Linked DNA regions of Pelodiscus sinensis. The protein of the gene in region 3 purifies or fractionates together with the protein of the main gene of each other region. This does not show direct contact. Links are inferred from orthologs where the notes say so. Each region holds a gene or a part of one and is shown on either strand. Other genes may lie near its edges.

The links. Proteins that work in one complex are often made in the same cells at the same time.
Region 1: the proteins of bromodomain-containing protein 8 (region 3) and MRGBP purify together in Homo sapiens (affinity purification with mass spectrometry; 10 studies listed by BioGRID and IntAct, counting the BioPlex papers as one, with this or other methods). This does not show direct contact. The link is inferred for Pelodiscus sinensis from reciprocal best matches to the Homo sapiens genes BRD8 and MRGBP.
Region 2: the proteins of bromodomain-containing protein 8 (region 3) and H2AZ1 purify together in Homo sapiens (affinity purification with mass spectrometry; 4 studies listed by BioGRID and IntAct, with this or other methods). This does not show direct contact. The link is inferred for Pelodiscus sinensis from reciprocal best matches to the Homo sapiens genes BRD8 and H2AZ1.

What each region holds. Positions count from the first base shown.
Region 1 is NC_134728.1:7,674,571-7,684,419, reverse strand, and holds the start of MRGBP (MRG/MORF4L-binding protein), read left to right. Parts: upstream 1-5,827; 5' UTR 5,828-5,842; coding exon 5,843-6,017; intron 6,018-7,184; coding exon 7,185-7,306; intron 7,307-8,293; coding exon 8,294-8,375; intron 8,376-9,849.
Region 2 is NC_134715.1:23,413,864-23,424,287, reverse strand, and holds H2AZ1 (histone H2A.Z), read left to right. Parts: upstream 1-6,402; 5' UTR 6,403-6,417; coding exon 6,418-6,645; intron 6,646-7,104; coding exon 7,105-7,182; intron 7,183-7,699; coding exon 7,700-7,813; intron 7,814-9,092; coding exon 9,093-9,222; intron 9,223-9,385; coding exon 9,386-9,447; 3' UTR 9,448-9,797; downstream 9,798-10,424. UniProt on the Homo sapiens protein: Variant histone H2A which replaces conventional H2A in a subset of nucleosomes. Nucleosomes wrap and compact DNA into chromatin, limiting DNA accessibility to the cellular machineries which require DNA as a template.
Region 3 is NW_027465994.1:705,959-715,966, forward strand, and holds the start of bromodomain-containing protein 8, read left to right. Parts: upstream 1-6,055; 5' UTR 6,056-6,131; coding exon 6,132-6,150; intron 6,151-7,045; coding exon 7,046-7,142; intron 7,143-7,445; coding exon 7,446-7,515; intron 7,516-8,037; coding exon 8,038-8,087; intron 8,088-10,008. Other genes in the region: kinesin-like protein KIF20A, read right to left, coding at 1-25, 215-301, 5,383-5,544. UniProt on the Homo sapiens protein: May act as a coactivator during transcriptional activation by hormone-activated nuclear receptors (NR). Isoform 2 stimulates transcriptional activation by AR/DHTR, ESR1/NR3A1, RXRA/NR2B1 and THRB/ERBA2.

The sequences.
Region 1 (9,849 bases), on a different chromosome or scaffold from region 3:
ATGGTGAAAATCTTGTGAGATCACAGCTCTCTATTGGAGGATGCACTATAACTGTTTCTCAACCAGTGGTCTGAGTACCCTTCGGGGTACTCGAGAAAAGCCTGGGGGATATGTCAACACAACTGAAATTTGGAGAAAACTGATTTTTTGTTTTACATTTTACAGTGCTTTATTATTTTTGTACTTTTTACACTCCAAAATTTCATCGCCCACCCGGCTACAATGTGTTGCAATGGTAGAAAAAAATGTTATGTGTATGAAAACTGTAGGTACTGGGGGTACTTATAATTTTTTAAGGGGGTACTTATAATTTTTTTTCTTGAAAAAAGGGTACTTTATAAAAAAAAAGGTTGAGAAACACTGCACTATAATCACTGTCGAAAGAGGTGGTGATGGGCAGATTAGCTATCTCAGGAAATTTCCTCCATTTTAAGCAGTAAACATAGAATCATAGAACACTAGAACTGGAAGGGACCTCGAGAGGTCATCGAGTCCAGTCACCTGCCCTAACGGCAGGACCAAGCACCGTCTAGATCATCCCTGATAGATGTCTATCCAACCTGCTCTTAAATATCTCCAGAGATGGAGATTTCACAACCTCCCTAGGCAATTTATTCCAGTGTTTAACTACACTGACAACTAGGAAGTTTTTCCTAATGTCTAATCTAAACCTCCCTTGCTGTAGTTTAAGCCCATTGCTTCTTGTCCTATCCTCAGAGGCCCAGGAGAAAAAATTTTCTCCCTCCTCTTTGTAACACTCTTTTAGGTACTTGAAAACCGCTATCCTGTACCCTCTCAGCCTTCTCTTTTCTAAACTAAACAAGCCCAATTCTTTCAGTCTTCCCTCATAGCTCATGTTCTCTAGACCTTTAATCATTCTTGTTGCTCTTCTCTGTACCGTCTCCAGTTTCTCCACGTTTCTTGAAATGTGGTGCCCAGAACTGGACACAATACTCCAACTGAGGCCTAATCAGCACTGAGTAGAGCGGAAGAATGATTTATTGTGTCTTGTTCACAACACTCCTGTTAATGCGTCCCAGAATCATATTTGGTTTTTTGCAACAGCGTCACACTGTTGACTCATATTTAGCTTGTGGTCCATTATGACCCCTAGATACCTTTCCACGGTACTCCTTCCTAGATAGTCGCTTCCCATTCTGTATGTGTGAAACGGATTGTTCTTTTCTCAGTGGAGTACTTTGCATTTGTCCTTATTAAACTTCATCCTATTTACCTCAGACCAATTCTCCAGTTTGTCCAGATAATTTTGAATTATGACCCTATCTTGCAACCCCTCCCAACTTGGTATCATCTGCAAACATCTCATGAGGAGAAAAAATGTTCTTGTAAGATTTCTGCCTTTCTGGGTTGAGAGCTCATAGAAATAGGTTTTCTTGTGGGATTTCAGTAACATCAACTACAACTTGGTAAATAGGCCTCTTCCATTTTGAAATCCTACCCAGAATCCAGACTGAAATGAGAACGTGGGTTCAGGGGTTCAAATCCAAAACCCAGTATTCAAAAGAGTTTAGATTTGAGATTCTGGTTTTGACCCATCTCTAAACATTTTATTTAACCATTTAACCTCTTTTAGGTATGTATAGAACATCAGTCGCCACTGTAAGAAGGGTTAGTTGGGTTGGATAAGTCTTGACAAGAAGACAGCGAACATGTAAAGAAACTGAACCTTTCTAATATGGAATACTTTCAATGAGAAACTCGTAAGTTTTTTCCTTCCTAGTTTTTGTTACTAGGGTAATTTACTAGGGCCTCTGTGCTTGTGAATTTCTGTTCCTGCTGTTTACTATTCATGTGAAATAGTAATCCTGTGTTTGTGACCAAAGTTATTTGCTGTGAACATTATTTTAATGCCACAGAGAGGATTAAGATTTTAAGAGAGAAATAAGCAGCAGGAATACATGATCACTAAGCAACAGAGAGACTGTTTCATGCATGTATGCTTAATAATAAAAAGGAAAAAAGGCAACACAGAAGGGATAATATATTATCACATTTTTTTCTGAATGGAATGTTTTGGGTAACAACTGTCTCAGGAGGCAACAGTGACCTCCCTTTTCAAAGTTCTCAGGAGCTTAGCAGTTCCTTCATTTTAAGCAGAGTGGTCTAGTTAGGACAGTATTGGCTTGAGGCTCTAGAGAACTGGACTCTATTCCCACCTTTGCCACTGACCTGCATTGCGATCTTGAACAAGTCACTTCCCTTTTCTGTTTCACCTTCCATCCTTCATCTGTCTTGCCTAGCTAGAATGTATGCTCTTTAGTGATGGGACTGTCTCTTACTAAGTATGTGCATAGCACCTAGCACCAATACCTTCAACTGGGACCTCTCTGTTCTATAGCAATACAAATAACATAAATATCTTGCCCCTTTCCAAAACATCTGATAGATATAATAGGGATGAACTCTTCAGGGTTCTTTAGAAATGTAGGCTTCTATAGAAACTACAGGCAGTCCCCGAGTTACGCGGATCCGACTTATGTCGGATCCGCAGTTATGAACAGGGTTTGCTCCTGGTCTGCTGGAGACCAGCAGACCAGGGAGACGGGGAGCAAAGCCTCGGAGGACGCCGGCAGCGGGACAACCGCGGCGCGTCTGGGCTGTCCGCTGCCCGTGTGCGCCGTGGCTTTGCTCCCCGTCTCCCTGGTCTGCTGGAGACCAGCAGACCAGGGAGATGGGGAGCAAAGCCTCTGAGGACGCCGGCAGCGGGACAGCCGCGGCGCGTCTGGGCTGTCCCGCTGCCCCTGTGCTCCGCGGCTTTGCTCCGGACGCCTATGGTACAGCAGCTGGGGCGCTGCTGGTTGGTCCCGTAGCTCCGCTCTGGGCACTACTGGACCAACCCGGCAGCACCCCAGCTGCTCTGCCCCAGGTGTCCCCAAGTCAGCCGCTGCTGAAACTGACCAGCGCTGACTACAGGAAGTCCAAGGCAGAGTTGCTCTGCTCCGGGCTTCCTGGAATCAGCCACTGATCAGTTTCAGCAGCAGCTGACTTGGGGACGCCTGGGGTTCTTAAGTTGAATCTGTATGTAAGAACTGGCGTCCAGATTCATTCTGTTGAAACTGATCAGCGGCTGATTCCAGGAAGCCCGGGGCAGAGCAACTCTGCCTCGGGCTTCCAGTAGTCAGCCACTGGTCAGTTTCAGCAGTGGCTGAATCTGGATGCCAGTTCCGACTTACATACAGATTCAACTTAAGAACAAACCTACAGTCCCTATCTTGTACATAACCCGGGGACTGCCTGTACTTGAAAAAATTGCAGAATTTAATAGGTTCTCATTCTCTATCGATAGATGTCCTTGTACCAACCTATTGAAGACAGAGAATTTTGTACAATAAAATCTTTAGGATGGTTCAGAAAAGCTATAGGAAACTTATTTTGTATTAAATCCATTAGCACGCTACGTGGGCTTAGAGGTAAACTATTAATTATCCCCAGCTTACAGATTTGCAAAGAGACAGACTGAGGCCTGCTCTGCACTTAAAATTAGATGGACCTTGCTACATTGCTCATGGCATGGCTGTGAATTTTTTTTTCCTGTGCACCTAGTATTCAGTATTTTCTCTTTTCCTCAGATGGATGGCTGGTGGCATCTGGGAGGGCGGGGGAAGGGAAGAGCACAGTAATTTAAAGGCGCAGAGGCCTTTTTTTTTTTCCGCAAAAAGATGGCTGGTGGCATCTGCTAGGGGAGAGGAACACGGTAATTTAAAAGCGCAGTGACCTTTTTTTTTTTTTTTTTGCTCAACCAATTCTTCCCTGCCTGTTCAGGATTTTTTGTGTAGGTATCTGGCAATCCTAGCAGCCACCAGGGGATGCCAAGGCTGAGGGGTGGCCACTGGGAACTAGTTGACTAGTCCCTCAACTTGTTGCTTCCTTCCCCCCCCCCACATCCCATCAGAGGCAGCAAAGGAGGGGGAGCGGGAGCTGGTGCTGGGATGAGTCAGCTTAAAAGCCAATTCCCCACAGCATCGTCTCTGCAGGGGGCAAGGGAGGCAGCGGGTTTGCCGGGACTGGGCACGAGCCAGGAATGAGCTTATTCCTGGCTTGCACCCAGTCCCAGATGCTGCGCCTCTGCTTTTTAAATGTATTAAGAGCCTGCCAGTTCTTTATACATTTAAAAATCAGAAGTGAAGCGGGAAGACCTGGAGCGAGCTGAGACAGCTGATTCCCTGCTCACACTTGGTCTCCCCACTGTGCTCCAGCCTTTTTACATTTAAGGTTGGTGCACAGTGGGGAGGGACCTAACACGAGCTGGGAATCAGCTGACTTGGGTCACACTGGGTCCCCCAGCTCTGCTTCAGCCTTTTAAATGTATAAAGAAGAGCCAATAGGCTCTTAATACATTTAAATGGCAGAGCCACAGTGCAGTTAGTTCCCGAAGCCAGGAGCTATCCCCACTGCAGCTCCCCAGCTTATTGACTAATCGACTAGTTGATTACATGAAATTTAACATCCCTATTGGGAACCCACAATAGGGATCAGGGTAGCTGCCAGAGTGTACCGGGGCTAAGGGGCAGATGTACAGGTGCTGGGCACCTACTGCAGGGATCAGGGTGGCTGCCAGGGGGCGTCAGGGCTGAGGGGTAGGGAGCAGCCACTGGACCCCACTACAGCAGTGGTTCTCAACTCGTTTCAGTCCACGGACCACCAGGCCAATCAAAAAATTTTCCTCCTTTTTGAGACATGATAAAAAAGAGCAGACAACGAACAGTTTGGTTTGAAATTTATTTCTTACTAACAGATTTTTGGTGCCTGCCCACACCTTGTGATTTTCGACAATGTTCCTGTGGCCCACCGAAAAAGGCACCATGGACCACCAGTTGAGAACCACAGCACTACAGGGACAAGGCCAGGGTGGATGTGCAGGCACTAGGCACCTACTGCAGGAATTTTGGGGTGGCCGCCACGAGGTGCTAAGGCGAAGAGGAAGCCGCTTGAGCCCCCACTACAGGACTCGCGGCGGCCGCCAGGGGGTGCCAATGGTGAGGGGCAGCCACTGAGCCCCCGCTGCAGGGCTCGGGGCGGCCGCCAGGACTGAGGGGGCAGGGAGCAGCCGCTTGAGCCCCCACTGCTTGGTTCGGGGCGGCCGCCAGGGGGCGCCAATGGTGGGGGGGGCAGCCCCTGAGCCCCCGCTGCAGTGTTCGGGGCGGCCGCCAGGGGGCGCCAATGGTGGGGGGCAGCCCCTGAGCCCCTGGCTGCAGGGCTCGGGGCAGCCGCCAGGGGGCGCCAATGGTGGGGGGGCAGCCCCTGAGCCCCCGCTGCAGGGCTCGGGGCGACCGCCAGGGGGCGCCAATGGTGGGGGGGCAGCCCCTGAGCCCCTGGCTGCAGGGCTCGGGGCGGCCGCCAGGGGGCGCCAATGATTCGGGGCAGCTCCTGAGCCCCCGCTGCAGGGCTCGGGGCGGCCGCCAAGGGGCGCCAATGGTGGGGGGGCAGCCCCTGAGCCCCTGGCTGCAGGGCTCGGGGCGGCCGCCAGGGGGCGCCAATGATTCGGGGCAGCTCCTGAGCCCCCGCTGCAGGGCTCGGGGCGGCCGCCAGGGGGCGCCAATCGTGGGGGGGCAGCCCCTGAGCCCCCGCTGCAGGGCTCGGGGCGACCGCCAAGGGGCGCCAATGGTGGGGGGGCAGCCCCTGAGCCCCTGGCTGCAGGGCTCGGGGCGGCCGCCAGGGGGCGCCAATGATTCGGGGCAGCTCCTGAGCCCCCGCTGCAGGGCTCGGGGCGGCCGCCAGGGGGCGCCAATGGTGGGGGGGGCAGCCCCTGAGCCCCCGCTGCAGGGCTCGGGGCGGCCGCCAGGGGGCGCGGCGGCGCTGCACAGAGCGGCGGCGCGGGGCGATGGGCGAGGCGGAGGGCGGCTCGGCCGGCGGCGGCGGCGGCGGCGCGGTGGCGGAGAAGCCCCCCGTGCCCGCGGCGGCCCCGGAGCCCGGCGCGCCGGCCGAGGAGGCGGTGGTGTGGAGCCCCGAGGTGGAGGTCTGCCTCTTCCACGCCATGCTGGGCCACAAGCCCGTCGGTGAGAGCAGGCCGCGGCCGAGCCCCGGCCTCGAGTAGCGGCGCCTGCCGGGAGGAGACCCGGGAGTGGGCGGGCCGCCCCGAGTGGCTCCCGCGGGCAGCGTCGGGGTGGGGGAGGTGCCGCTCATACCCCCCCCCCCCCCGAATCCGAGCCCCTCCCCCCCTCCCCGCAGCCAGGACTCCAGCCCCCGGGGGCCCTGCCGCTCCAGGAGCTGGGGCCAGTGGCTGCGGGGCCGGGCGGCTTTTCCTGCCTGTGGTCGCTGCCCCCACCGCCCCCCAGGGCCGGATTCCCGGGGGGGGGGGGGGGGCAGGTTCCATTATGTTTTCTTATTGGCCGGACCTGCCCCCGCGGGTAGGGATTTTTAGTTGCAAAAATAGGGGTCGGGCAGGAATTTTGAATATTGGGGAAATGTAGCGAGGCAGGGGCCCACTGCTGGGCTTTTCTTTCCCTTGCTCTGCCTGGCTAGGAGGGAGTGCGAGGAAGTGTGGGGGGAAAGGGTGTGGGGTCTTCTCCCCTTCTGCTGTTGGCAGGACATCTCTTGGGGCATGTTAGGTGCAAGTGAAACAATCCACAAGCAGGCTTGTTGACTTTTTGTTGCTCCCTCTCCCCTTTCAGAATTACTTGGTTGCAGCTTTCAGGATTCATTGCCTCTGGCTTAGCTGTGTCTGTGCCCTAAAAATGGGAGAAGACCCTGTGGTCCCAGCCAAGATTTTAATTATTAGATCTGCACAGAATCTGGTGCAGTCACTTAACTCAGGGTACGTCTAGACTACAGAGTTTTGTCGACAGATACTGTCGACAAAGCTTCTGTCGACAAAGAGCGTCTACACGACATTCAGTTCTGTCGACAAAGCAAACTGCTTGGTCGACATGGCAGTGTAGACGCAAGGACAGTTTACATTCAATAACGCCTTCTGTCGACAGAACTCTGTCGACAGAAGGCGTTATGCCTCGTAAAATGAGGTTTACCAGCGTGGACAAAACTGCTGAGTTCTGTCGACGTTATGTCGACAGAACTCAGCGGTAGTGTAGACGCAGGTATAGTTTTGTCGACAAAAGTCCACTTTTGTCGACAAAACTCTGTAGTCTAGACACACCCTTACTCAGTGAGGTGATGCACATGCCTCTCAGGAAATGTCGCTGATGGCTCTAACTTCCTTCCTTCAGGTGTGAATCGCCACTTTCACATGATTTGTATCCGAGACAAATTCAGTCAGAATATTGGACGACAGATTTCCTCCAGAGTGATTTGGGACCATTTGAGTACCATGTATGACATGCAAGCACTAGTGAGTATAGAAAACTGGCATTAAGGAATTCTGATTTCCAGTAGATGTCAACAGCTTTGATGTCATATGTGTTGGGCCTAATTCTTACATTGGTGTAAATTAGGTGACTTTTGTGAGGTCAGTGGACTTTCACCTGTGTAAAACTAGTATAGGAGAGAGGAAAATCAAGTCCCGTATTTCTTCCCTCTTATGCACTTGCTTTGATGTAAAATTTCTCTGTAGGCCCTGATCCAGTAAATACTTTGAATGCTTAACTTTATATGTGCAAATAGTCCTACTGACACACACAAAGTTCAAGCATTTTCAAGAAGTGGACAGTCACCCTCATATTCTGTATCTTGTCCTCTGGTAACCCTTATGGGACTTCTGATGACAGACTGAGATATCCTATTACGAATTATTTGGCCTTTTCCTGTACAGGTTGAACCTCTGTTAATCGGGACTCTCTGGACCATGGATGTTCCAGGACCAGAGAGTCCCGGTGGAAGGCTGGTGGCTGGGATCCCCACAGCTGGGCTGCTTGGTACAACCCAGCGGGACTGCCTGGTGTGTCCAGGAGCCCGGCGCGCTGCAGTGTGGCTGCAAGAAGCTTCCAGGAGCCTGGCACACTTCAGTGGGACTCCCCGGCACATCCAGGAATCTGGTGTGCTGCAGTGGGGCTTCCCGGGCATGTCCTGGAGTCTGGTGTGCAGGGAGCTGGGCTGCCTGGCTTAGCAGGGAATAGGGAGGGGGAGGGCTAGCAGTGCAACAAGGCTGGTGGGAAAGGAGGGCAGCTGGTCCAGGGCTGGGGGAGGAGGGGCCTGATAACGGGGGACAAATATGACATCCCCTAGTCTGGCAAAATCCCTCATCCGGGACCAGTCAGGTCCCAAGGGTGCCGGAACGGAGGTCCAACCTGTATATGAAATTACTTGGCATTTGTTTAGGAAATCTGAGCTGATAGTTATAATAAAATCACACTAAAGACATTTTACTTTTTTTCTTAAGCATGAATCTGAGATTCTGCCCTTCCCTAATTCAGAGAAAAATTTCATCCTGCCTGAGGAAATTATCCAAGAAGTGAAAGAAGGTGAGATCTGATGCTAGCTTTTATGTTGCAATGCTCTGATCAAGTTCTAGGCATGATTAGGCAACTTGAACTCCAGAAGAAGGGAAGAAGTAATGATGTACTAGGCTGACGCTGGTGTGTCACATCATTGGATTGTGTAATAATCAGGGAGAGGTAAAATAGTAAAAAGTTTAATGTAGATGGGATTTTTGATAACACATTCTATCAAAATCTCCCTTTGGCAGAGTATGCGCGTCTTCCACTTACTGAGGTGGGGAGGGTGGGGAAGGGTGCTATGTGCAGCAGGGAGGTCAAAATCCGGTCCTTGGGAATTATATGCAAGTAGTTAAAGGTTTATTCTTTTGGGGGTTAGGTGATTTGAATGTTTTAGTAAGACTGTGTTACTGATTAAGTTTCATAAGGCAATTGTTACAAGAGTTTTATTTACACTGAATAGCTGCAGTTCTATTGCAGGTGAAAACTAGAGCCCTGCATGGATACAAAAATGGTATCCACATCTATATCTGAAAAAAAGAACCTGGATATCTACAGATTTGCAGGGCTCTAGTGAAAACACTTGCTTTTTGGCAGGGTGCATCACAAAGTATCCATGTTGTGTAGGGAAACTGGAATAATTAATTTGATTGTTAATTTTGTATTTTGTCCAAGAGCACCACAGATAAAATCCTTTCTGCTTCTGACGGTGCATTCCTAAACACTTCTTGCAGTAGTTGCTGTCACTAATTACTTGAAAGCAAACTGAGAATCTTATCTTAAATGTAAAGCTTTAAAACAATAGATTTGTATTAATATTCAACTCTAGAATCTGTTCAATTAATGTTTTTCTGTGATTCTTTGCCTAATTTTGAAATTCCTCTACAGGAGCTTCCCTCTCAATATTCTGATGTAGCCAATACGTAGCCCACCAACCAAAAAAAATTTTTTTTTTTTTAAAGACAGTTAAACTTGGAAGGTCCAGATCATGGGCAGTTGGGGAAGGTCGGGCTGTGGGAGGCAAGCCCCCGGCCCTGCCCCTTTAGCCAAGGCCCCATCCCCCACAACGGGGAGGGAAGGAGAGTGGATGGGCAAGTGTGCACGCTCCAGTCTAGGAGTGCAGGGAGACTGGGTAGTGCGCAGCTTCAGCTTCCCCACCCCGAGCATGGGGAGGGATGGCACTCGAGGCAGCAACACTCCATCCTCAGTACACCTACAGTAGGCGTTCTGGGGACGGAGTGTGAGCAGGGCCAGGTTGGCAGTTGATACGGGCCACCTGTGATCCAGATTATTATCAAGTATCCAGTGCAGTTGTCCAAGACAGGAACTTGGAAGTTCCTACTTCTGAAAAAGGACAGTTGTTCTTGTGAGATTTTAAAGAACGTTAGAATGACTCTCAACTACTGGCTGCAATAAGTATTTCACTTAATATTTATAAAAGGCAGCATCAGTCCAAGTCATTGCCACATATTTTGCCCAATCGCTATTATATTTGTTCCTA
Region 2 (10,424 bases), on a different chromosome or scaffold from region 3:
AATTATGTGAAAGTGAATTTCCAAAATGGTGTTTAGAAAAACATGTTGCTATTTCTAATTGTCATTGGTTCCTACTATTGTATTAATTCTGATATAGTACGGCTTGGATAAATCTAGCACTACCAAAAAAAGTTTGTAGAATACAGTCATATGAACAGTCTGGACTACCATTCTGAAACAGCATGAAGTGTGTCCTCCCAATATTTATATTGTTAAGAAGTAATGGCTGGTGTCCAAAATAACACGGCTTCACTTAGCAAGGTACCTTTTGCCTCACCTTCAGCTGTCCCCAGCAGCCTGAATATAACTCAAAGGCACTGGGGAGAGAGACTGGGAGAGACCCAGGGTCTGTGGGAAAAATTGTGATGGAGGACAAGGAAGGATAGTGGGCAACTGAGAAGTAAAGAGTACCTCTCCTATTTCCTCCCCTTGTGGAATTGGGATATTTCTAGCCTGAATCATAGACTGAGCACAAACAATACTCCCATTTGTGTTCTTTCGTAGTTCCCTGACTGCCTGTCTCCTCCTTCTAACCATCATCAATCAACCCAATCTGATTTCACAAACTGATCCCATTCCCACTGCTAGCAAAAACCCAATTTGTTCCCCTCCCAGTTTAGTCTGACCCCCAAGCTTCTTCCAACCATTTCTCCATTTGCTCAGAAGCATACCTATGCTTAGAGCACTGTGCAGACACAAAATTAATATCTGCATCTACAAAAATTATCTAAAGATATTTGCAGTTGTAAAGCGGATATCTATGGATTTGCAGGGCTCTACCTATGCTTCCAGTTTGGAAACAATTCCTTGTACCTAATCTCTCCAAAGTTCAGAATCTCCTGCATTCCAAATCCAAAGTCTAAGACATACACCCATCCCACATACACACAAAACACTAGGGCTACGTCTACACTGGCCCCTTCTTCGGAAGAGGCATGCTAATTTCTAACTTTGGAATAGGGAAATCCGCGGGGGATTTAAATATCCCCCGCGGGATTTAAATAAACATGGCTGCCGCTTTTTTTGCGGCTTGGGGAAAAGCCAGAAAAGAGCGTCCAGACTGGCGCGATCCTCCGGAATAAAGCCCTTTTCCGGAGGATCTCTTATTCCTACTTGAAAGATTTCCCTATTCCAAAGTTCTAAATTAGCATGCCTCTTCCGAAGAAGGGGCCAGTGTAGACGTAACCTAGCTGTATCTGAACAACTTGTCCTGCTTGTTGCTGCACTTGGAAAAATGGGAAAGGTCTCTGATTGCAGAAAGCTGTGGATTTTAATTTTGAGGTTGAAGAAAGTCAGTACTACGAAAGTCTGGGTATGCCTTTCTCAGTACCTCCTGGATACATTTCCCTATAAGTTTCTGTCTTTTCTGGTATGATGAGGCATTGATCTTGATTGGGGCTCTAGGCACTAATGTAATACAATATTACTTGAATACATATATTCCCTTTTGTATAAGGAAGGTCTTGTGTTTGTCAAAGCAGAGGAGTCTGAGTCATATTTACATTCTATTCATAAACTCTCACACTGACTTTGTGATTTTAGGGAAATAACTGTTCAGGACTACCCCTGGAAGTGTGCACTCTTATTTGAGAACAAGAAGGCCTTGTTCAGATTTAGTTTAACCAGTTCCTGAATCTGTATAGACAAGCCTTTAGAACACAGTCTTTTGGAAATCAGGTCACAAATGTGTTTGTCACTTACCTGTTTTAAATGGTGGTAGGCAAGTATCTTGCAAGTGTTTTCTGTGGATAAATGTCTATCAGATTGATCTTTGGAAGAAACGCTATATAAATGCAAAGTAGTGTTAGAAAAAATTCTGTTGTATTTAAGAAATAGGATGTGGATCACATTAAAACTAACAATATAAAAAGGCAAGATTAAGGTTCAGGTTGTCCAGAAGTGCACGTTAGGTTTTAAATACCTAATTGTACAACAGCAATATTGCATGAAAGTCTGCACTTGATTTTTTTTTCCTTCCAAAAAAATCCAACACTGCAAATATTTTGTTGCTATTAGGATTTGAAAAACGCTGGACATATACTCGTAGCAGATTTTTTTTTTCTGTCTACAGTGAAATTACAGTTATGGGATTCCTGCTATAACAGCCTGTCTATACACAATGGCTGGGGAGGGAACTAGTGACTAAATAGTTAAATAGTTTAGTTATTTAAACTATTCTTGCAGTGGATTATTCTTGCAGTGTCAGTGTGACCTTATCTATCCATATTTTGGAACAGCATCAGCTCATTACACTAGCTTTACAAAGAAACTTTGGCATAGTGATATTCAACTTCGCAACACCTACCAGTGATTAGAAAAAGCACCATTATTCACAAAGCCTGCATTAGGTGCCTGGGATCCCTGTAGGTTGGCTGGGGGAGAACTGAGTACCTCACTATGGGATTCACACAAATGAACATGGTAGGTAGTTCTGCTTCTACAATAGCTGTGGGAGATGCCAAGCTGAGAGGGAGGGTGTGTAAAGCCCCATGCCTCTCTTGAGCCAGTCTGCAGGGAGGTGTCTCTTCCTGATTGGGATTCTTTGCGCAAAGCTTCTTTAAGTGTTCTAACAAGAAGCCTGTGAGGGGCATGACCTCTCAAAACTTTTAGTCCAGAAGTGGATTTCCCACCCAGGATGTGGGACACCCTCAGTTGCACACACTCTCTCTGATTTGAACTAAGCTAACTGTTAGGCAATGGGGTATTATGATGTGGGGCTCCCTCAGTCTCTCCCATAAAAGCTGTCCAAAGTGGATAAACAACTTTTTTAAAAGATCACTAGTTCAAGGAGATTGGATGTCTCCCCTTCCAGGCAAATGCTCCAGCAGCCAGACAGGCTACAGAGTCATCCATGAAATCTCTCTGCTCAATAGCCAGGGGACTCCCCCATTATGTAGGAAATGAAGTTCAAATTGCTGCTCCAAATCAGGCAGAGCAAGAATTTGAAAGCAGGTCTCTCTCATCCCAGGCAAGTGCTCTAACCACTGACTTATTAGCACTGATGGATGTGGCTGTTGACACAAGAAAAGGCTGACCTGCCTTAGGCACCTCACTGCAGAAGCGAGGTAGCGGCTGTGAATTCAGTCAAGGAATTTAACTACCTCTGAAGAATTTGGCCCTGCCCCTTGACATTTCCCACCAAAGTATCTGAGCCATTCCCACCAATGAGGAGTGTGTGTGGAGGTTTCAACCCCCTTTTGTAGGTATTTAACTTTCCCCATGCATTGGATGGCTCACCAGTGGCTGAGAATTCACTGTACGTCAGGGGAAACCAGTTTTATTTGTGAATCTAGCCCTAGATATCTAAAGAGGCAGACAGGGTCCTACAGTGATTCTCAAAAGTACCCGGGTGAGCAAGTCAAAATTACTTCAGTAGAAATTGAATACCCCAGGCATAGTTAAAAATCCTACATCTTCAGACATCCAAATAACTTTAAAAATGTGCCCCTTTGTCACCGGAGACACCTTATACAATGATCAAATAAATTCTATTTTAGATGAAGACTATTATAAAATGCTAATGGTACGTTCAAGATGGTAATGCTGCAATATCTAAAAATGCCACTTGCTTAGATTGCCAGACAATTGAAACTTTCATTGAGTAAGATATGTTGAAGGTCCACGCAGAGTAACTTGTTACAATATAAATACCAGGGACTTCTTATTTTTTGTTACTTATAAAGCCCGCCCATCATTAAATCTTTGAGGGTGTATGCACATAAAATATTCTGAAACTTTTGACCAAAGTTAAAATGACCCGTCTTCCCTCAGAACATTACTTGAGGAAATAACAGTATTATCCTCTCCAGCAAGTCTGAAAATGACCTTATCTTGCACTTATAAATAGACTTTTTCCCCTCAGAATACTGATTTGTCAAAATTTTAAGTGTTCTGTAGAGATGGTTTAATTTTGATGAAGGCTAGATGGCAAGCAGGCAGGGCTTCATGGAATCCTGCCAGACTTTCTATCTGGTGGATTGATGAGGAGTCTGGGAGTGGCTTCTTGACAGCCTGCCCTTTCAGTTTTCAGCATAGGATGACTTGTGGGGCTCATCTACACTGGCCCCTTTTCCGAAAGGGGCATGTTAATTTCACAGGTCGTAATAGGGAAATCCGCGGGGGATTTAAATATCCCCCGCGGCATTTAAATAAAAATGTCTGCCGCTTTTTTCCGGCTTTTAGAAAAGCTGGAAAAGAGCATCTACACTGGCCCCGATCCTCCGGAAAAAAAGCCCTTTTCCGGAGGATCTTATTCCTACTTTGAATAAGATCCTCCGGAAAAGGGCTTTTTTTCCGGAGGATCGGGGCCAGTGTAGACGCTCTTTTCCGGCTTTTCTAAAAGCCGGAAAAAAGCGGCGGACATTTTTATTTAAATGCTGCGGGGGATATTTAAATCCCCCGCGGATTTCCCTATTACGACCTGTGAAATTAACATGCGCCTTTCGGAAAAGGGGCCAGTGTAGACGTAGCCTTGCTGTGATAGGGACGCCCTTTTCATTGAAAACTTCTAAATTTAAGCTCTTGTTTTAATTCAGAACAAGATCAAACTTTGAGTTAATTCTGTTTGAGGATTTCAGTTTCTCAGCATAGCAACAATAAAACAGTAGGATGGGAAACGAATTCCTAAATCAAAAGTGCTTCACCAATCATCTCCTGCCACCACATTTACCAAGTTTATGACAGTTGACTTAGCAATTGCCATACTGCATCAATCAGTGATGTCTTTGGTCTCCTATCTTGACAGTGATTAATACCAGGTAATTCAAAGAAACCTGCAAGATACCTAATGGAGTTACATGGAAAAACTTCTAGTTCCTGACAAAATGTCTACATGGGGTTTTAGCTGAGTATAGAATGCCAATTAATTCTAACTCAAGGTTGAGGGCCTCTGTAGATATACACATAGGTTGCAATATGCTTTCAAAGATTTGTGCTTGAGAAGGGTGAGCAGAGAACTATTAATCATGTTAAGATAACTCCATTGGAAACATCTTCCTTCCTGATTGTCACTTGACTAGACCCAGAAGCGGCCCAAGGCTGGCTGCGGCAGCTGGCGCCCCAGGTGGAAGGCGCGATTGGCGCCCCCACCTGCACGGTCGTCAATGGCCGTGACGTAATGACGGGGCGCCCCTGACTAGACCCTTATTATGGTACACCCACCTCCCGCAGACACGCAATGGGTAACTGTTCTTGAGACTCATTGGAATAAATGGAAAGGTCCTAAAAAGTCTCCCCTTAGTCTAGGACAGTGGTCCCCAACGTGGTGCCTGTGGGCGCCATGGCACCCGCCAGGCCATTTCTGTGCACCCGCCGAGTGATCGGGGCCGGCCCTGAACCTCGGCGCGTGGCGCATGGATGGTGCTGGCTCCGGGCACGTGGCACAGGGGTGGCACCAGTCCCGGGCACGCAGCACATGGGCAGTCCCGCCCCCAGGCGCGCAGTGCATGGGGCTGTGCCGGCCCTGGGTGCGTGGCATAGGAGCGGCACCAGCCCCAGGCATGCAGCATATGGGCTGTTCCGGCCCCAGGAGTGCAGTGCATGGGCGGTCCCGCCCCTTGGCACCCGGCACAGGAGTGGCACCGGCCCCAGGAGCGTGGTGTATGGGCAGCCCCAACCCTGGCCGTGCAGCATAGGAACAGCGCCGGCCCCAGGAGTGTGGCGCATGGGTGGCGCCAGCACTGAGAACGCGGCGTATGGGTGGCCCTGCCCCCGGGTGCATGCACAGCCCCCCCCCCCCCCAGGTACCCGGCACGTGAGTGGCCCCACCCCCAGGTGCCCAGCACCCCCAAAAGGTTGGGGACCACTGGTCTAGAAGGCAGGAGCAGCTAAGCATTTGACAAAATAAAAGCTGTTGTGGGAAAACAAATGTAGCATGACCAACTCTTGCACTAAGTGGTATCTTCCTTAAAAACACTTGGAATGATGTGTGGCTGCAAGATAATCTCACCGGCTTTTAAGAAAACCTGCTTCTAGTTGCTCTACAGAGATCGAGACTTAAAACGTGCCCTCGGAGTACTCCAGCCCCAGGGAACATGTCACACTCCCTCTCACAAAGCGTCACGAGGCTCCTGATTTTTACAGCCATGTGGCAAGCCTGGGGGGGGGGAGGGGCAGGACTGACTCATGTTTTCTGAGCGCCCGTTTAGCAACCTTGATAGATGCACCAGGCACCCGCTGTGCTGAGCCAGGCAGCAGGGATGCCGGGCAGCTGCATAAGCAGTCACGAGACACAGGCCCCGGCTCCCACCTTTCCCCGCCCCGGAGCGCGACCCAATGAACCACGCACTCAGCACGCCCGTGAGCGAGGAGTGGTGACGTCACTTTAAATATGGACGGAGTCTTTTGAGGACCCGAGGAAGCGGGTTGCCCGCTCTTGTCAGTCACTCAACCCTACCAACTCCGCCCACTCGCTGGCCTATGATTGGTCCGGGCGCCTCAGCGAAGGCCCGTCCCCACTCAGTCGATTGGCTAGCAGCAGGAGCCGGGTTCCCGGATGCGGGCACGTTCGGTGGTTATAAAGCGCTCGCGCAAGGCGGGAGCGGGCGCAGTTTGAATCGCGGCGGGTGCTGGGCTCGGGCTGGTGTGGTTGGGCACGCGCTCTTTCGCTTACTACCCGTTTGTGGCGCTGCAACACCGCTCATAATGGTAAGAGAGCCGCAGGAACGGGGCTCAGCGGGGAGACTGGGGGGTGCGGCGGCTACGTCGCCTTGCTGCGGGAAGGGCCGAAGCTGAACTGAACGCGCCGCGGAGGGTGAAAGCGCGCGAAGGAAGGGGGTTAACGGTGGGTGGTGGCGGTTGCCTGAATGGGAGGTGCTCATGCTAAACCTGTTGGGGGAGGGGGAGAAGAGGAAAGAAGGGAGATGGCGCACGCGCAGTAGTGACGCCACCGATGACCGGAAGTGGGTGGGGCGCATGCGCTCGGGAAGCTGCTTGGGCCTGCTAGCGTGGAGGAATTAGACACGCTGGTTAGATACGGGAGGCGCATGCGCTTAAGGCGCCGCGCGCCGGTTACCTTCACTGCTTGCGTTCTGTATGGGGTAGCATGGGGCACGCTGCGCTTGTGGCAGGTGCTGCTCCCCATTAATCTCTGCTTTTTTGCCTTAGGCTGGTGGAAAAGCTGGAAAGGATTCCGGAAAGACCAAGACCAAGGCGGTATCCCGCTCACAGAGAGCTGGCCTGCAGGTGAGGACTGGGCGAGCTATCTGCTTATAGCACAATCGCTCTGGACTGGGAAGGGTTTGCTGGAGAGCCCTCCAAAGTTACGGCAGAATACTCTTATTGCAAGGTTTTTAAATCGTGAGCTTCTTACATGGAAGATCAGGTTGAGGAATTTGTCTAGTCCAACCCACTGTTCAAAACATACAGTGGACGACTGGATCACACCTATGCTAGTGTAATCTCAGGGTGGAGAGCCTGCTAAAAGCACTCAAACAGTTACTTGAATTGCAGGTGTATGCTTTATAGTCAATGAGCTTGAGCGCTCAATGTGTGTAGAGGGGGTAGTTGTGTGTTGCTGCCTGAGTGCTGTAGAGAAGCAAGAAGTGTAAGACTGCAACTTTACACTCTTATCCCAGTGATGTCTGTCTGCCAGTCCCAAGCCCTTCCATGTGATATGATTGGTGTATCTTCTATCTTACAAGCCATTTCAGGTCTGTTGATAAAGCCTGAGTCACTTTAATTCTATTCTGACCCTTTGCAGTTCCCTGTTGGCCGCATCCACCGACACTTGAAATCAAGGACCACCAGCCATGGACGTGTGGGAGCTACAGCTGCAGTATACAGTGCTGCTATTCTGGAGTACCTGACAGCTGAGGTAAAATTGAACCATGGGGAAATGTGGCAAGCAGCTGACATTGCTGGCGCTGCATAATGACCAAGGTTGCTTGTCTTCTGAAATACTTCTACTATTGGAATTTGTCGTAGAGTTGTGTTCAAGAATCCTTGGTTTAATCATTTTCCCCTACAAGCCCATTTAAGTTGGTAAAAACATAAACGGATGTCCCTGTGGTCTGTTCTCAACTAAAGTTAGGTTGAGATCACTACATTGCTTAATGTAGTGCCATTTTAACCAGAAAGGACACTCTCTCAATGACTTAACCACCTGCATTCTGCTACAAAGACCTTTTACATCTGCACTGTCATTCATGTTAAAATTCAACACTCTCCAAAAAGGAATGAACAAACACTTGAACTATCTTACCCATTATCAAGATAGCTTCCCCAATTATCACCTCTAATACCATTAACTCAAACATCCCATGCTCCCCACCTCTAATCATCAATTCAGACACTTATCTTCCTTCCTTCCCCCCCCGCATCTCCCTCGTGTTCTGAAATGTGATTTGTCTATTCATGTGTGTTCATTTCTTTTAATTGTATCCTTTGGTATATATGGTTGTGACTATTTTCTTCCACTATTTGATCTGAGGAAGTGGGTCTGGCCCACGAAAGCTCATCATCTAATAAACCATCTTGTTAGTCTTTAAAGTGCTACATTGTCCTGCATTTTACATTGCTTAAGGGTGTGAAGAATCTGCACCTCTGAACATTGTAGTTAAAGCAGCCTAATCACCAGTGTAGATAATGCTAGATCAATGGCAGATCTTCTGTTGGTTTAGTTTTGCTTCTCAGGGAGGCTTATTATCTATGCTGATGTAAAAACCCCTCCTGTTGGCATAGGTAATGCCTACACTTGAAATGCTGTAGTGAGAGCACTATAGCTATGATGCTGTTGCATTTTAAATGATCTTTTAAAACTGTTTGATCAGATCTGAAATGGTTTATAAGCTACCCCAATCATATTGCATGGAGGCATGTGTGACTTTTTTCCAAAATGTCACAACTCTTTTGCCTTACTCTTGCAAAATATCTTCCCCTTCAAACTATGGGGAGGAGACTGAGGAATTATCCTGCAATGCAATCTGTTAATACTGTGTCCAAACTTAACAGTGCAGTCTGCAAAACTGTTACACAAGACCCTGATGATCTCTATGTAGCCCTAGCCTATGGTATCTTTCCGGCTATTTTGAAGATGTCATTAACTACTGCAATCTCTATATGGTGGGTAGGGTCTGAATGTACTCTGTCTGCAGGTTCTTGAGCTGGCAGGAAATGCATCCAAAGACTTAAAAGTGAAGCGCATCACTCCCCGTCACTTGCAGCTTGCAATCAGAGGAGATGAAGAATTGGACTCTCTCATTAAGGCAACAATTGCTGGTGGTGGTATGTAATTCCAACTCATAGCTATTCAAACTAAACTTCAAGTCAAATAGACTTAATTGCATTTTACAAAATTAATACACAATTGCAGTACTATCTGGATTTTGGATGACATAGGGAAAATGCATTTCAAAATTGCCTTAATTCTTGGTGTTTTTTCCCTTAGGTGTAATACCACATATCCACAAATCTCTCATTGGAAAGAAAGGACAACAGAAAACTGTCTAAAGGATACCAGTATTCCTTGTTATCTCAGGACTTTAATTAAACAGTTGTCCAGTGTTGGTGATTCCAGTGGACTGTATCTGTGAAACACAACTTTGCCTTTTTGTAATTTTGAGAAGATAAAGCTCACTGAGCATTCTAACATACCAAATTTCTGCATTGAAGTCTTAACCATATTTAAGTGTTACCATGGCTTCAAAGAAGCTATTGTATCTGTAAGGGTTTTTGATTAAAGATGACTGTTTTAGATCTGTTTGATTTTAATGTGAAGTAGAAGTTAAAGGAAATGTTTGGTTTTGTACAGACTACTTCCACACTAGTGGATGAATTCAATAAATGTTGTATCAATAATATTCTCTGTGCATTAGCTTTGCTTTGCTTTCTCAGCTGTTTGCCCAAAAAGCAACTTAAGACCTATCGGACACCCAGTTCTTGACCAAGGAAATGTTACCCTACTATGACATTGTAAAGTACTTTACTTTGATTCAAGCAAGTTCTGTTGGCAGAATGTCATTGCTTCAATTCTGATGGTACTTACTGACTCCTTATCTGTAATAAGCAACATAGATCCTAAGCTTAGCTGTTTAAGAGACATGAGCTTTAAAGGGGATGGCAGCATATTAATCTGTATTGAAGGGAGCTCCTGCTTACTAGCTTGTATAAATAGCGCCAAAGCTTATCAAATACAGCAAAAACAGTTTGCTCTAGACTACGACAGATGAATAAAGATTTCTGACTCTTGTTCTCACTTTTTGTATACTGCATGTTTTTGTTGAAGTTAAACATGTTTATCTAGTGCCTTTCAATATTGCAGTTTAAAACTATCTACAGTGGTGCATCAGTAGTAAGGCTATAATACTGTGATGTTAATGGGGCCTTGATTGTTTAACTAGATGCTACCTGGAATAGTGCTAAGCTAGAGCCATGATACCTGGCTACAACTATAGACTTTACAAACATAGTTGTAGAGGTACCTTAAC
Region 3 (10,008 bases):
CCGAATTCTCAATACAAACACAGCCCTAAGGTACAAACAAAGCTCCCTCACCACAACGGCTCAAAAGACAAAGCTCCCTCCCACCCATGACTACCACAAACCCAGCAGGTTGTGGAATCCTCCACGTGCAGCACAAGCCCCCGTTCCCAGTAGGACGGGGAAACGGATTCTTCTGTTGCCCACGTGCAGCTCCTGCTTGGCCCAAGGTTCTCACCTGATCCTCCTGCTTCTCCAGCTCAGATGGCTTCAGGGGCCGGACTCTCAGATACACCTTCACTTTCCCATTGTCCTCAGGGGCAGTCTGCAGAAGCCCAACAGGTGAGCGGTATCAGTCAGTGGAAGTACCAGACAATTCTGTCAAGCTCAGTGCACCAATGGGAACCATCGCAGGGCACAGGCAGCTCATGAAACATGCCTCAGAAGCCTCTGGACACTTCAGTGGCACTTGCTCCAGAAGTTTCAAAACAGGAGCTTGCTCAGGCACTTCCAGCTGGTTCTTGGGCCACCAGGAGGCAGCTTCTCCAGCAGTACCGGAAGTGAGAGACTAGCTGAACTCTCATCCCTCCCCTTTTCCCCAGAGGCATCCTGCCTGGCTACAATGACAGGCCCCATCAATTGGCCTGACCATACTATTTAAACCAGAAGGAGGCACAGGAAGTTGACTAAGCAACTTCATGACTGACTGGCGGGCGTATTGGGCCTGATTCATGTTTGATCTCTCGACTCTGGCTCTGGTTTAGATGAAGAAATAAGGAGAAGTTAGGTTCTGGGTATAAGTGTATAGGAGCAAGAAAAAGCAGTTGCTTACCTTTCACATAACATCTTACAGAACAACAGTTGTGTTGCTCATGCCCCTCCCAAGTAAGTGTGTGAGCATGCCATGTGCAGAGTCGTAGGAAGATTTTTTCCTCTGGCAGTACCCATCAGCCAGCTGTGGAGCCCCCTGGAGTGGGGCCTTTATGGTGCTGAGCCTTCACCTGCTGTGTTCCTTCTTGCCGGAAAAGCCTGACAGAGGGGACGCAGGCAGGTCTTGGAATGGGCACGAGCACCACACCTCAAAGAGTAACAGTTACCAAAGGCAGACAGACATTTCTTCTTCAAGGGATTGCTCATGTCGATTCCAAGCAGGTGACCTCCCAAGCAGTTCTCTGGCGGAGGGGTCAGAGATCACAGAGTTGCAGATTGAAGCACTGCTCTCCTGAAAGCAGTATCATTTCTGGCATGTTGATAAATGGCGTAGTGAGATATAAACCCTAAAAAATCCTGGATCGGCACATAGGCCCAGATGGTGGTGAAGCCTGCACCTGTGAAGACTGTACAGTCAGCAGTGGAGCTAGGATTCTGGAGAGACTGTAGCAGGCGCTAATACAAGTTGTGATCTCAGAAGAAATCCTCTGGGAGGTGATAGTGAGACCCTTTATTCTGTCAGCAATGAAAACAAGGAGTCGGATACATTTCCTGAATGGTTTAGCACGTTCCAGATCGCAGGCAAGGGCATGCCTGACATCCAAGGAGTGACATGCGCACTCTGACCCATCTGGCTTTGGATAAAAAAATCCAGCAAAAAATGTCCTGGTTAGCATGAAAATCTGAAACCTCCGGAGCAAAAATGCTGGTGTGGCCTAAACTGAACCTTATCCTTATAAAAATTGCATAAGGCAGTTGGAACGTCAAAGCCTTAAGGTCAGAAACTGTTCTGGCTGACAAAAGCCACTAGAAAGGCCACTTTCCAAGAGAGAGAGAGGAGGCAGCACCTCGCTGGAGGCTAGAAGGGCAAGCCCATCAATTTGGACAGCACAAGACTGAGGTCCCATTGGCTGTCTCACATGGGGATAAAGTCTGTCCTGGCCCTTCAGGAAATGGCTCACCACTTGATCAATAAACACGCAGCAGTCAAGTGCACTCTCTCTGTAGCCACTGCCAGGCCTGGTGCTTTAGTGGAAGAAGGTAGTCCAGAACAACAGGGATAGAGGTTTCCCCAGGTTGAATGCCCTTTTAAAGCAACCACAAAAAAAACTCTCTTCCAACTTGGCAAAGTAGAGTGTGTGTGGACGGCTTCCTGCTGCCTAGAAGAACCTCTTTCACTGCCACCGAACATGGCAGCTCCCGCACATTTAACCATGGAGCATCCAGGCTGTGAAATGGAGGGACTCCGGGCTGGGATGCTGAAGATGACTGTGATCCTGAGTGAGCAGATTCTGGATCGGGGCACAGGAAGAGGCATGTCCACCAACAGCTCTAGAAACATGAACCAGTGCCATCTGGGCCACACCGGAACTACCAGGATCACCCACGCCTTGTCCTGACAGATCGTGAGCAGGACCTTGGGGATGAGGGAAGTGGTGAAAACTGCCACCTTTCCATGGAACGAGGAAGGCATCTGCCAGAGCACCCAGGCGGTGACCGAGGAAAGAACAAAAGCTCTGGCACTTCCTGTTCTGGCACATTGCAAAGAGTTCTTTCCGGGGAGACCCCTGCCTCTGGAAGTGACCACTGGTGCAGCAAAAGGATCTGCTGAGCTGACAGGCCAACTCGTTCTGAGTACCAGGCAGATACAAGGCCTTCGGGTGTATTTTGTGAGCACTTGAGGACTTTGTGACACAAGGGAGGGGTGAGCACCACCCTGTTTGATATAAAACAAACAGCACTGGTGTTTTCTGCTAGAACCGAAATGCATTTGTCCTGCAGGCAAGGCTGACTGCCGCAGTTCTGTGACCTGCATTGGAATCACCCACTCGAGCCCATTTCCAGCCTTTGCACCACAACCGACTCTTGTCCTAGTCACAGAGAAGGGGTCTCCTGCAGACAGTCTGCAGGCTGAGCCACCCCTGGAAGGGGGGCAAAGACCTGAGAATGACTCCAATGTCCAGCTGCTCTTGCTCGTTTTGGGGAGTCCACGGACACCAGACTCAACAGCATGGGCTGTTCCCTAAGCACCGCAGAGTTTCCAGGCTCAGGATGCACTCTCCTGGCCGTATCAGCCTTAGTTGTAGGTGACCTTCCCCCCCCTCCAGCCGATGCTGCCTCTTAGACGGCATTGGGGAGCAGTGAACAATGCTGAGATGTTGCTCCACCCCTTTAGGATCCAGGGAATGCCGGTGCCAGGGAGTCTTCAAAGCAGAATCCTTCAGCAATGCTGTCCCACACTGAGGATGTCTGTTTTGGCACTGGGCCAGGCTGCACTGGCTGGTGGTGGAATCAGGAGTCTGAATCTAAAGGATGGTAACCCCTTTGTCCATGTGATGTGCCTCCCCTAAGCACTTGAGACAAGAGTTGTGAGAGTCTCCCATGGGCATAGACTTCTGGCAAGTAGCGTGTGGTTTAAAACCCTGGGAGCAAGGCATGCCTCAGTCCCTGGGGGAGGGGAGGATGGGACTACTCCCCACTAAAAAGAAAAAGCTATTTACATGATATAATTAGCACTTAACTAATGATGGAATAACTACAAGACATTAGAGCTAGGGAAAGGCTTGCCCAAGGCAAGAGAAAGGAAGCTTCAACCTCACTGGCTGTAAGAAGGAAATGAGTGAGGAGAGGATGGGCAGTGGCTTATATACAGCACCATAGGGGCAGTGGCTTATATACAGCACTGTAGTGGCACCACTCCAGGGGACTCCACAGCTGACCAACGAGTATTGCTGGCGAAGAGCTTTCTGACGACTGTGCACGTGATGCGTGCACACCTACTTGCAAACGGCATGAGCAATCACTCGAAGAACAGAAGTTGCCATGTGAGAAAGCTAGAGATAAATTGGAGACTAAGTTTCATGAGAAAATAAAAGTTAGCAAGTGCTTGACCCAGAATGATGTTTTGATTAGAATGTTTTCGAGAATCATGAATGTATTAAAATACTGTCTAAGTTGATAGTGTGGGAAGGACATTGGCACAAATGTTGATTTAAATAGTGTGCAATAAAAAAAGGTAACAAGGTGGTGGTGGAAATAGAATTATGATAAAGAACTCTTTAATTATATTACAGCATCCAAGAAGAAGCCTTCCTAAACTGCAGGGAGCCCCAGTGATCAACAAGGTACTGTGAGTTTCCAGGGTTATGAGGCTGTACTTCACTGTTAGTGGACTGATCACCCTTCAATTCACTATTTTATCTTTGAGTGAGAGGATAACAGTATCATTAGTAAAAGAGTAGCATTTGGGTAAGTGTAAGCGCATGTCTGTTTATTAAAAAGAAAAGGTAATGAAGCAAATTTTGGCTGCATAATTTGGCTGTTACTTTCGTGGTCCTCTGCTAAATACGTTTTCGCAAACCAACTGAGAGATTTGAACCCGAAACCTGAGTTGGGTTTGATACACCCTTATCTTAGTTACTTAATATTAATTGTGAACACTTGCATCATATAAGTTACAAATGTCTGGCTTAGTTCCTGGACTCCGACTCCAGCTGACTTCTGGCTTGGTTCCCTCTCTGTAGGGCTGGTATCTTTGCCCATTAGTACAGAGAACAAGCCAAAGCTCAAAGTGTAGTACCCTCCCATCAGCCACAGTGGTTCTCAACTCATTTCAGTCCACAGACCACTAGGCCAATCAAAACATTTTCATGGACTTTGGACAACGTTCCTGTGGACCACCAGTTGAGAGCCACAGGGCTAGATAAAGAGTGCCTGGAGTAGTAGGCCTGGTGCAGTATTAAAGCAAATGCTTACAGGATTACTGCCTAGTGCATACATTTGTCTAAGTTGCTACTAGCATTGCTAAAACAGGCATTTTTAAAAATTATTAGGCACTAAATATTTACATTAAAGCATTTCAAAATGGTAGTATGCAAACATCTCAATCTACTACTAAAAAGATGATTTGACAAAATAAGATCTTATCTGAGGTATCAGGAACATGGGGAGGTAATAATATCATAAAGCATACATGGTGGTATGTAAGTTGCTTGTCCCAGTCTATTAACGTTTGAGTATCTGTGTACAGCCAAAAGAAAAACAAAAATTCCTTCTGGTGACTTGCCATGGGGCATTTGTGCTAATGCATTAGAACTACGCCTTGAGGCCAGGCAATAAACCTGGCAAAGTGGCTGTATCACTGACCCATACCTGTAGTCTTTGTCTGCATCAGTGGTTCCTAAACTTTTCCAGATGGGGACCCATCTTGACAATTCAGGAAGATTTGGTGGCCCAAGACAATTCAAAAATGGGGGGAGAAGGTGAGGCACCTGGGTAGACACCTGGCAACTCTTTTGAAATGCATTGGCCACCCATATTTGGGTCCCAACCCATAGGTTGGGAAACCCTGGTCTACATACAAGAAGCATGGTGGTCTAGCCAGGAGCCCTGGCTGGTAGGGGTGATAACACCAAAGCTTCAAAAGCATTAAGCAGCTGTAACAGCTTTACCACTGCACCATACTGCAACCCTCACCTGCTCGGAGCCCCTCAGGTTTGGGGAAATAGCAGAGAAATCGGACAGCAGGTCTTTGCGCAAGCCAGCCCCCAGCTCTGCTGCCGTGGACTCGAGCAGGGGCGAGGTTGTGACCTCCTCCCCACACAGCAGCCCCAGAGGGGAGAGGAGTTCTTGGGCCATGGTCCCCACAGGTGGCTTCTGCAGGAAAGGGGCACAAATAAGATCAGCTCGACTGCATGCCCAGCCCCATGGCACGCTCCTCCCCCCCCAACGCACCCCCCACTCTGACCCGCCCCACAACCATGTTACGCCTCCTCCCCCAACACCCTTCGAGTCCAGCCGTGCTCCCCCCCCCGCCAGCATAGCCCCCCCTCCGGCATAGCCCCCCCACGCCGCTCGCCCCCCCTCCGGTCACCCCCCCGCCGGCATAGCCCCCCCACGCCGCTCGCCCCCCCTCCGGCATAGCCCCCCCCGCCAGCATAGCCCCCCCCTCCGGCACAGCCCCCCCCCGCCGGCATAGCCCCCCCACGCCGCTCGCCCCCCTCCCCCTCCGCTCACTTCGGATCCGTGGTGATTCCGTCTTGTCTTTGTTCAAACCTCGCGGTCCGCCGACTCAGCCAATCAGAGCGCGCGCAGCGCTTCCGCCAATCACAGGGGGGCCTCAAAGCGAGGTTGGGGCGGGGCAAGGTGAGCTCACGGAACAGGGCGTGTTTCCCGGCGAGCTTTGCGCTTCTGCCCTCGCCCCCGGCCGGGGTCTAGCGAGGAAAATGGCGGCCGGGCCTGGGAGTGAGCGAGGGGCGCGAGCCTGTTCGGGTTTCTGCGCGCGGGCAGGCGGGAGTATTGGGGGGCGGGGCTCCGCGGGGTGAGGGGCGGGGCTCCGCGCGTGCGGGGTGTGGGGCGGGGCTCCGCGGTGTGAGGGGCGGGGCTCCGCGCGTGCGGGGTGTGGGGCGGGGCTCTGTGGGGTGTGGGGCGGGGCTCCACGCGTGCGGGGTGTGGGGCGGGGCTCCGCGGGGTGAGGGGCGGGGCTCCGCGCGTGCGGGGTGTGGGGCGGGGCTCCACGCGTGCGGGGTGTGGGGCGGGGCTCCGCGGGGTGAGGGGCGGGGCTCCGCGGGGTGAGGGGCGGGGCTCCGCGCGTGCGGGGTGTGGGGAGGGGCTCCGCGGGGTGAGGGGCGGGGCTCCGCGCGTGCGGGGTGTGGGGCGGGGCTCCGTGGGGTGTGGGGCGGGGCTCCGCGCGTGCGGGGTGTGGGGCGGGGCTCTGTGGGGTGTGGGGCGGGGCTCCGCGGGGTGAGGGGCGGGGCTCCGCGCGTGCGGGGTGTGGGGCGGGGCTCCACGCGTGCGGGGGTGTGGGGCGGGGCTCCGCGGGGTGAGGGGCGGGGCTCCGCGCGTGCGGGGTGTGGGGAGGGGCTCCGCGGGGTGAGGGGCGGGGCTCCGCGCGTGCGGGGTGTGGGGCGGGGCTCCGTGGGGTGTGGGGCGGGGCTCCGCGCGTGCGGGGTGTGGGGCGGGGCTCTGTGGGGTGTGGGGCGGGGCTCCACGCGTGCGGGGTATGGGGCGGGGCTCCGCGGTGTGAGGGGCGGGGCTCCACGCGGGCGGGGTGTGGGGAGGGGCTCCGCGGGGTGAGGGGCGGGGCTCCGTGGGGTGTGGGGTGTGCTGCAGCCTTTGAGCCTCTTGGTTCTGCCGCCAGAGCACAAGCTGCTGGGCGCCGGCCCCACCGAGCCCTGGTCCGTGCGGGAGAAGCTCTGCCTCGCCTCCTCTGTCATGCGCAGCGGGGACCAGAACTGGTGAGTGAGGCCCCTAACGGTAGCGCGCCGGCTGCGAGCCCTTGTCCCCTGGCAAGGCAGCCGCTGTGCGCAGGGGGCAGGGTGCCCTGCGCTTTGCATTGCTAACAGGCCGGGGAGCGCACGATGTGCCCTGGGTCTGTCCAAACCAGTAACGCTGCTGCAGCACTTACCCCCGGAAGCAACTGGGAAAGTTCTGCACATTACCTGTGTGATGGGTCCGTCACTGCGCAAGCATCCTCCCCCCTGTGGGTTGGTGTGGAGAGGAAGGCAGGTTTCTAGTCATTTACCTGCTCTTTCTTGCAGGGTATCTGTCAGCAGAGCTATCAAGCCCTTTGCTGAACCTGGCCGCCCACCTGACTGGTTTTCTCAGAAGGTAAGATGCTTTGGAAGAGGAATCCAGCTCTTGCCAAGACTGCCGTCTGGGGGTATGGCTGCTGAAAGATCAGTAACTTGAGATATCAGGGGAGGAAGCTGTTCATCTGAGGGAGACATGGAGTCACTTTTTTAATATTGCCATTCTCCTAGTACCAGTTATCCCTATGCAGAACTGGTCTTGGCATAGTTCTCGCCAACCCACTACTCTGAGAATATCCTGCAGTTTCTGCTTGTAACTGTAATATTTACCTTTTTTGGATGAATATGTTATTAAGCGAGGCTTTTCTTTTCTTTGACAGGTCAGAGTGGAGGGTAGAGTAAGCCCTGGTACATTAAGCTCACTTGCAGTCATAGATTTGACTTCAGTGAGTGCAATTGTGTCCCCATCCATATCTCAGAACACACCCTGTGGGCATTAGATCTTTGAAGAGGAGATCCCAGTCCTACATGAGCTTTCTCTGATACCATTGTCTGTGATTACTGTTCTCTGTGTGCTCTAACTCCCTCTGCATTTTTTTAGCACTGTGCATCTCAATATTCGGAGCTTCTGGAGACCACAGAGACCCCCAAGTGAGTGCAAAGAATGAGGCATGTGATCTCTGAAGCAGCTGTTGGAGGGCTCAGCAGTTTATCTGGTTGTGCATTTGCCAATACTGTCAAAGACAGGCACGTGGAAATCTGAGTGTGGTATCTGAATAAGAAGGGTGACTGTTTCCAAGGGAAGAGCAGCTGAGGAATACACACTTGGAATGCTCTTTCTGTTCACCCATTCTCCTACTTTAGAGGTCTAAATGCTTTCAATTCTAAAAATTTCTGTAGCTGATATTTGTAATGTTCAGGGCTCGACAAACTATGTAATCTACTCGCCCATGGCGAATAGATTACAACCTGGAAGAGCTGGGTCCGGGCGATCTGCGCATGCGCAGATCGCCAGACAGCATGGCAGGCGAGCGGGGCTTGCCGCGGCTCTGCGAGCCCTGGTAATGTTTATTCCTGAAATGGTGTCATTCATTCATATACCTCACTCCCTGCAACCTTTAAGGTGTAGGAGTTCTCAAAGTGCACTGCACAGTAGGGATGTAATAGTGTAGTCAATTAACTGTTAAGCGAAAGCTTATAGGTTAATGCTATAGACTACATGCATTTTTCCCCCTCCCCCCACACCAGTAAATTTGTTAGCAGGCTGGTCAGCAGTCCAGGACCTACCGGCACTGAAACTTTGCATTTAAAGTGTTTTAGGAGGTAGGCAGGCAGGCAGCTTGGCTCAGTTCCAGCTCACGCTGGGTCCAGGAGCTCAGACACCCTCTCTATCCCCGGACAGGGACTGCTGCCACCCCTGTATCAGAGGCAGCATCACTGGCCGCAGCAAGGGGAGCTGGTTTTTAAACTGGCTCCTCTATCAGAGCAGCTCCCGCCTGATACTGCTGAGGAGCCCCCTGCCACTCCATGCTGCTTCCTCTGATTCGGAGGCAGCAGCATGGAGTGGCAGGGGGCTCCTCAGGAGTGGGGCCGGATGACTGCCAGCCCTGCCACCGAGACTATAGAATAGTCAAGTAACCGATACAAATTCATGAGGTTATTCAGCTATTCAATTAATTGATATTTAACATCCATACTGCAGTGTCCTTCTTCTGACAACAAAAATTACTACATTACCCTAGGAGGGGCGACTGAAGCCTGAGTTCCCCCCATAGCCCACTGCTCCAGACTGGGGGCCAAACCTGAAGCCCAAGCCCTACCCTCCTGGTGGGGTGGGGCCAAGCTGAAGCCCATTGGCTTCAGACCCAAGGAGGGGCCCTGTAATCTGAGCTCTGTCACCCAGGGTTTTTGGGCTTCGTTCCCAGAAGGTGGGGCTCTGGCTTTGACTTTAGCCCATGGCCCCAGGAAGTCTAAGCCTGCCCTGAAATAGATCATGAGCAACTTTGGGGTCCTGACCCACAATTTGAGAGCCCAAATATAGTGCATTGTAGGGCTTCTTAGTTACCTGGGCTACAATTCCCAGCAGAGCTCCCCAAAGTAGTATTTTAGGGTAGTTGCAATCCAGTTAGAAAGATAACGTAACTTAGTTTCATCCTGATAGTATATTAATATTAAACAAGTTGGTGTTTTATAAAATATATGCCATTAGTATTGCACCAGAATAGCTTTGCAACAAAGCCTTAAAAACATGAGAGGCCATATTGGGTCAGACCAAAGGTTCATCTATCCCAGTATCCTGTCTGCCGACAGTGGCCAATACAGATGCCCCAGAGAGAGGAAACAAAACAGATCATCCTCATGTGATCCCTCTCCTGTCACCCATATCCAGACAAACAGAGGCTAGGAATACCATTCCTACCCCTCCTGGCTAATAACTATTGATGGACCTAACCTCCCTAAATCTATCTAGGTCTTTTTTTAATCCTGTTTAAGTCCTAGTCTTCACCACATTCTCTGGCAAGAAGTTCCACAGGTTGACTCTGCACTGCATGAAGAAAAACGTCCTTTTGTT